Linked DNA regions of Elephas maximus indicus. The main gene of each other region encodes a partner of the protein of the gene in region 2 in a complex. Links are inferred from orthologs where the notes say so. Each region holds a gene or a part of one and is shown on either strand. Other genes may lie near its edges.

Region 1 (3,817 bases), on a different chromosome or scaffold from region 2:
GTACTGTATATGCAGCCCTGGTGGTACAGTGGTTAAGCATCTGAATCAACCAGCTGCTCCTTGGAAACCCTATGGGGCAGTTCTACTCTGCTCCGTAGTGTCGCTATCAGTCGGAATTGACTCGATGGAAATGGGTTTTGGTATATTCCAAAGCTGATTCCTTCCAAATTCCTTCATAGTAGAGGTTTTGGATACCATAACAATGACTGAATTAAATGACAGGCCCACAGCTGATTGTAAAAGACAAGATTCTGCTTTAAATACTCTGATGAATAAAAAGTAATTCATTCAACAAAGGAAAAAAAAAATGATACAGGCACTGCTTTGGCCTGATCACAATTAAAGTGATCGCTTAAATAAAGGACACTGAAGCAGCAGTTCTTAATAGTTCAGATAAAGATGGCTGCGCCCCAGTTGTTGACTCCAATTTCCCACAACTCTGCTATACAGCCAAAGTAAAGCTTCCTGCTTCTCAGAGCAACAGGTATCTCCAAAAGCATCTGGCTTGGGGAACTTAACATACAGGGGAAGGACAATGAGTAAAGATGATCACTACCTATGCTTCCTCTAGAAGTTTTCCTATCACCAAAAAAAAATTAGTGACTTAGATCAATTATCTACACACTTAATAACGGAATCTTCTGTGAGAGTACAAAATTCCATACTATTTGGTTTAAACTTGCATTTTCAGAAAGCGTTACAGTTTTAAGCAGAAGTTAAATTCTAAGCAATGCTAGCCTTAATCAAAACAATGAAAGAGCCAGTCAGAGGCAGAGGGAGTGATTCCTCTAGGCAAACACCCCCTAACCCACTCCCTTGAACTCCTGATGCTGACACTGGAAATTAACTTAAAAATTTATGCTTGAACTTCATATCTGTACCAGAGAAAGGGAGTGGGAGAGGAAAACCTCATCCTTATCCTGGGTAAGGTTCCTATTAAAAAAAAAAAATAGTCTCTATTTTTGGAGGTTCTAATTGGTTGCTCCACCGCCGATCTGTCAAGTTGTCATACTGTGGTGGCTTAGGTATTGCTAGGATACTGTAAGCCATGTCACTAGTATTTCAAATACCAGCAAGGTCACCCTTGGTGAACAGGTTTCATTGGAGCTTCCAAACGAAGTTAGATGAGAAAGACAGGCCTGGTGATGTACTTCTGAAAATCAGACAATGAAAACTCTATGGATCTCAACAAAATATCGTCCAATAGAGTGCTGGAAGATGAGCCCCTTAGACTGGAAGGCACTCAAGATACACAGTGGCCACAACAATGGACTTGAGCGTACCAACGATCTTGAAGATGGCACAGGACCAGGCTATGTTTCATTCTGTTGTTACATGGGGTCGCCATGAGTTGCTGCCAACTCATCAGCAACTAACAAGTTTCTACAAAATAGTGCCCAAATTATCAGAGATTCATTAACTACCTGAAACATAAAGGTAAGCACACATCAAGAAAGACTGTTTTAGGCCAACGATGGAGAAAAATATTCTAAATCAATCTGATCATAAACTCTACAAAGGAGGGCTTCTAGTAACTTTGCCAAGAAGTATCTGATTTTAAAAAAACTACTTTTTTTTTTTTTTTAATACTTCGTTTCTAAATTCTTTCTGTTCAGAGGAGCAAAATTAAAGGGACCAGGGGGTAAAGTCTTGCAACCTAGAAGGACCAAGCATAGCTGCACTGCAACAGGTCACAAGATCCCTGCCTCTTGGGCACTATTATGCTATGAGGCCGGATGTCACACAAACAACCAGCAAAGGGTTATGATGCTAAAGGGCCCAGAGATGTTATCCGGGGAGTCAGCTCCACTTTCATCCAGTATCAAAATAGGACAAAAAGGAGTAACAGAAAATGAGCCCAGATGTGACACCAGGTGCTTCATTTAAAGGTGGTTGGTTCTATTATGAGCAATACTTATCAGAGGACTAGGAAGTAGAAAAGCTACCTTATGCCTCCCCAAGAGATAAAAGATTATTTTTGTTGACACGGGGTGGGTATTCAAAATCTTAATTGTCATGTATTTATCATATGTAAGACATATTAAAAAATATAGTACACTACGAAATCATGACTTCATGAAAACTACTGCTTAGGATAAACTAAGGAAAAAAGAGACAGAAGAGCTTTTTACAGAATTAATATTAAAATGGATGGCACACGATAGAGAGAGAAAGTAGATTAATCGTTGCCAGGGGCTGGGGGATTGGGGAATGGGCAGTGACTGCTAATGAGCACCGAGTTTCTTTTTGGGGTGATGAAAACGTTCTGGAATTAGATACTAACTAGTGACGATGGTTACACAACCTTGCGAATGTACTAACAATCACTGAATTGCACCCTTTACAATACAGGCCGAATTTTATGGTACGTGAATTAATTTTTAAAAATAGAGGTCACAGGGAAACCAAGAGGCTGACAGGTGAATGAAGTTTGGGAAATCTGCCTTCCAGCGAGCGAGACGTCACCAGAAGTCTGCGGACGTGGCCGGACAGTCAGGCCAGGGGGTGAGGCCTGGTCTCAGTTCGCAGGGAGACCCGACTCCGCTTCTTCCCAAATGTAACGAGACAGGGTCGCAGGGCCTCGGCCCGCCCTGTCCACTGGGGACGCGAGTCTGTCGCCACGGCTCCTCTGGCCCCTCAGCCTCCGCCTGGTCCCCCAGCCCCAGGCCCTCTTCTCCTCCCCCGCCCTCCTGATCCCTGCCTCCTCCGACACCGGCCCGGCCTCAGGCCCACTGCTCCCACAGCTGTCTCCGGCCCCGCCGGCCGCCCCTGGCCCACACGGCGTCCCCGCAGGCCGCTCCTCGGCGCCCGGCCGGCTTCCGTACCTGCCTTCTCCGCGCCGCCGGCCCCGGTGCTGGAGGCGGGCCCGTCGCCCTGAGCACTCCGGAGAGCCATGCCCCGGGGGCCCGGGCCCGGGCCCGAGCCCCGGCTGGTGACCGAGCCGTGAGAGACGCGGCGGGCGCTGCCCCGAGCCGCCGGGTGGGTTTGGCTGCGTCGACCAGCGGTGCGCAGGCGCGCTAGCGTCCCCGCGCGGGCTCCGCCCCTGCGCCTGCACGTGACGCTCCCTGCGCGGGGGCAGGCGGCGACGGTCGGGGCAAGCGCGCACGCTCCCTGAACAGGGGGAGGGAGAGCCCGGCGCCGGGCCCGCGCGTTAGGCGGGTCTGAGGTGTAGAGTGTGGGCTCTTGACCTGGTGTGTTAACTGCTTTTACTTTCCTTCTCTTTCAAATGGGGTGATGATAATAACAGTATTTAAGTTAGAGTTATTGGGAAAGTGCTTAGGACATAAAAAACCCAAACCCATTGCCGTTGAGTCTACTTCGATTCATAGTATATACTGTATGTATATGAAACCCTGGTAGCTCAGTTGTTATGAGCTACGGCTGCTAACCAAAAGGTCGGCAGTTCAAATCTACCAGTGGTTCTATGGGGCGATTCTACTCTGCCTTATAGGGTTGCTATGAGTCGGAATAGACTGGACGGGTTTGGGTTTTTTTTTTTTTTTTTTTGGTTTTGTATGTATATAGTATAACGTATAAATGGCCCACAATTATGAGCTATTATTTTTGCTTATCAAGGATTATACCTCCTGTTTCACCTCACCACACCTACTCCTGTCATACCTGGCGACTTCCGGGTTTAGAAGGGCCATGGCATACAGCTCTGCAGGTTGTGTACTCCACAACGCCAAGGGGTGCCATTCACATAGAAGATTGCCCTCCTCCTTGAGTTGTGCAAAGCAATGACCACCCATTTAAAATAGAACTCTGGTTTATCAAGTCCTTGACCTCATCTCAAATGACACTCCTTTCTCTCCAG
Region 2 (3,600 bases):
AAGCCAGTACCTGGTCGGTGACGTCGTACACCACGATGATGCCATGGGCTCCCCGATAGTAGCTGGAGGTGATGGTCCGGAACCGTTCCTGACCGGCTGTGTCCCACTTCATGACAGGAGGGGAGGAGAGACAGGGTCAGCCTCACTCCATACCCAGAGCCCCATGCCCCTCCCAGAGTAGTGCCTCTACATGGCGGCTATGGGAAGAACACCACTCACGATCTGAAGTTTGATGGTTTTGCCATCCAGCTCAATAGTTCGGATCTTGAAGTCCACCCCAATGGTGCTGATGTAGCTCTCTGTGTATGTGTCATCCTGAAAGGGCCAGTGAACGGGTCTGAGGCCCATCTGGAAAACCTCCCTCCAGCTCCCTGCCCAGCTGAGCTCCTAACTGCCAAGCCCCAGCTCTCAGCACCCCACTTTGCCAGCCCTGCCGCCTTCCTGTTGGATGTGTTGCCAGCAGGTCCTGCAACTTCATCCTTGGTCCCCCAGGTCTCATAACTGCTGTGTTCTAGGGTATCCCTTCTTCCCCCTGGCCAGCCAGCCAGGACCCCAGATGGACGGTACAGGAGACTTCTTACTCACAGCAAACCGCAGGAGCAGGCAGGACTTGCCCACGCCCGAGTCACCAATCAAAAGCAGCTTAAACAGGTAGTCACTGGAGAGAGAGGATGGGAAGGCATGAAGGATGGCAGGGAGCCCACCCACCAACATACTGGAGTCACAACTGTAACCTTACTGGGGGGTGTGCCTTGGTTTGTAAGACGACGACGCTCACCCAACCCTCCTTCTAGTCCCCCACATAATATAGCTACCCCAAAAGGCTCTCAGTGTGCTGAGGCTAAATCCCAATTTACAGAGAAGGAATCCAAGGCACAGAGAGGGACCTGACTTGCCAAGGATCACAATCAGTAGCGACAGAGTTGGGTATCCTACTCATTCCTGACAAATTTCATTGTTCTGTCTGATTGGGATTACTTAGAGAACCCCACTGCATGCCCTGTGGTGTGCCTGCCTTGGCAGGCGAGGCCGCAGAAGTGGAAGCCAGAGCCCAGACCAGAACCCACTAAATAACTACCTACGTAAAGAGCCTGGTATGAAGCCACCAAGCAGAAGTGGCCAACAAGTAGCAATGGCAACAGCAGTTAACAGTCACTGAGTTCCTACTTTGCCTGGTCCTGTGCTAAGAGCTTCAAATGCACCATGTCATCAAATCCTCACGTCAGTCCAGTGAAGTGGGTGCTGTTATTGCCATCTAAGGAGAAACCCAGAGCTGGAGAAGGGCAGTCTTGCCCCAGGTCACACAGCTGTTAACTATACTACTAGAACCAGGTCTGTCAGACTCCAAAGTCTCTTTGCCAGCCTGCTGGTTTGCTTCTCTGTTCCCCCTTGTAATCCAGCTCAGAGCTTCACCCTGCCCCACGGAAACCTGTGGCCTGGATCGGGAGGAAGAAAAGGAAGTGGCAGAAGAGGAAGACAATGATAACTGATACTCCGGGGAAACTATCAGTGCGAAGTCCTGGCCAGGAGATGTGGGCCACCTACCCCAGCTACCCCTAGGGGGAGTGACCAAGAAGTGAGGAGAGTTCGTGGAGCAAAGAATCCCACCGAAGCGGGGAAGCAACTGCCACATTTCTGTAAACTTCAGTGTTACAGCGAAGGGAAGAGGTGTGCCGACGGCGGCAGGGTGCCTGTGCAAAGGTGAGGAGGGCAGGACAGAATGACTGCCGGGGGCGGCAGGGCAGTGCGGCCCAAGCGAGGGGCCAGGTGACAACCCCCCCGGAGCGCTGCCTCGGGGCCTCCGGTGTTGTTGGATCTGCAGGGCAGAGGGACTTAAGGCCCAACGTAAGGGCTCGAGTTTATACCAAGACCAGAGACTATCGTGACAGGCCCCAAAACGCTGAGACCGTTGTCTGCACCAAGGCCGCTGCCACGTTCAAGCCGCAGGTGGGGAAACTGAGGCCAGGAGAGATCGGGGCTGCGGGGTCACCTGACCGTTAAGGCCCGGTAGAGCACATGCCTCGGGCCCCAAGCAGTGCCCCTCGGGGTCGCCGTCTTTGGGCGCTGGGTGCAATGACTCGGGGGGTGTCGAGCCGGGGTTCGGGGGCACCCGGGGGGAGGGGCAGAACCCGGATGTGAGGGGGGGGGGTCAGCGGAAGAGAGACCCGGATGTGGGGGCGCCGCGCAGTCCTGACCCGGGCAGGACAACCCCGGTAAGCGTACAGCCCCGTACTCGGAATCGAGGCTGCGCCGGACGGCGCGGGCGGGGCTCACTCACTATTCGGGGTTCATGGCGGCAGCGGCGGCCCGCTCGGTCGCTCCCAGTCGGCTCTGCTCCGCCTCCCGTTCCAAGATGGTGGCCGCTCCGCCCCAGAGGCCCCGCCCGCGGAGCGCAGGCGCAAATACGCCCAAGTGGGGCCTCGCCGCGCTGCTTCTTGGAACTTGTAGTTTTCCACATTGTACGACAGGCGTAAAACGGAGGGCCCTCACCTCCCAGCCCGCTCCCTGCACCGCCGGCGCACTGCCTTCTGGGGCTTGTAGTTCGCTCCCTAGACGTACGTGGGATTTAGGACGGCGCCTGGGGGAGCTTGCCTGCATCCCAGCGCTGAAAACTCAGTTTAGGGCCAGGGTTAAGGGTCATTCTCCTTTCCCACGTCTGACCGAGGCGGTCATGCCTACCCTCCTAGCTCCCAGGGTCATGACCATTAGATGAGAAAGTGGGTGCCGGCAAAAGATGATGTTCATTCATCTAGAGTTTTCCGTGTGCTGGGATCTCGTAACTCACAGCGCAGCCCCAGGAGGAGAGTGTCATCACCCACATTTTATAGATGAGAAATATCGAGACTCATAGAATTCGTTCAAGGTCGAACAGCTTAAGAAGGGGCAGGGCTCAAAGTCCCCGCTCTCTATAACCCTAGAAATGGAGGTTGCCTTCTTGGGAGACTTCCGGATTCGGAATCTGAGGCCCCCAAACAATTCCGGGCAAGGAGCAGTATATTTGGGTCCCAGCGGCCCGGGTACCGGACGCGAACAACACGCACACACACACACTTGCCACTCACACGCGACCTCTCCCGACCCGTCTCTCCACCCTCAATCTTCGCCCCCCAAACAAGCCCAGCTCAGATTCAAACCGTCTTTATTTCTACAGCAATATCTGAAAATAAAGAGCGACCACCTCACTTCCCAACCGTGGCAGCCCCTCGCGAGAAGCTGCAGGTGTGGGAGGGGCGTGGCGGAACGGCTCGGTGGGCTGGGCCCGGGGCGGAGTCAGGCCTGCCTGGGCGGGGCCGGGCAGGAGGGGCAGTGCATAAGGCCGGGGTGCGAGGCAGGGCCCGGCAGTGAGAGGACAGGGAGGTCCCCTAGCTATGGCTCAGGGCGATGGCGGAGGAGGCCCGCCCCTCTGAAGCCGGGAGCTCGAGAAGACCTAGGGAACCCTTGGGGAGGCACCGCCCCTCGAGCTGTGGCGCCTGGGAGATACCACCGCGCGGAATGGGGGTGATTAAGGCCTGGGCGGTACCACTAGAGAAGGGCAAGGAGCGGGCAGCCCGGGCAGTACCCGGGAATAGTGGGGTGGGGGTGGGGGGGCGGCCAATAATT

What was found.
Region 1: the proteins of RAB1B (region 2) and TBC1D20 are in contact, whole or in part, in a crystal structure (PDB 4HLQ), measured with the Homo sapiens proteins. The link is inferred for Elephas maximus indicus from reciprocal best matches to the Homo sapiens genes RAB1B and TBC1D20. Residues at the interface, in NP_112243.1 of Homo sapiens: Ser17, Gly18, Ser36, Tyr37, Ile38, Ser39, Thr40, Ile41, Gly42, Val43, Asp44, Phe45, Gln60, Trp62, Ala65, Gly66, Gln67, Arg69, Phe70, Thr72, Ile73, Tyr77, Glu94; in NP_653229.1 of Homo sapiens: Gln97, Gln98, Leu101, Asp102, Arg104, Arg105, Leu107, Arg108, His141, Tyr142, Tyr143, Gln144, Gly145, His147, Asp148, Phe177, Met178, Asp179, Pro180, Thr181, Met182, Lys186, Val212, Ile215, Leu218, Ser219, Thr223, His227, Met272, Ala273.

What each region holds. Positions count from the first base shown.
Region 1 is NC_064843.1:38,503,025-38,506,841, forward strand, and holds the start of TBC1D20 (TBC1 domain family member 20), read right to left. Parts: upstream 3,004-3,817; 5' UTR 2,896-3,003; coding exon 2,826-2,895; intron 1-2,825. UniProt on the Homo sapiens protein: GTPase-activating protein (GAP) specific for Rab1 and Rab2 small GTPase families for which it can accelerate the intrinsic GTP hydrolysis rate by more than five orders of magnitude. Also shows GAP activity for RAB18 GTPase.
Region 2 is NC_064825.1:129,422,113-129,425,712, reverse strand, and holds the start of RAB1B (ras-related protein Rab-1B), read right to left. Parts: upstream 2,389-3,600; 5' UTR 2,293-2,388; coding exon 2,279-2,292; intron 659-2,278; coding exon 586-658; intron 316-585; coding exon 220-315; intron 107-219; coding exon 11-106; intron 1-10. UniProt on the Homo sapiens protein: The small GTPases Rab are key regulators of intracellular membrane trafficking, from the formation of transport vesicles to their fusion with membranes.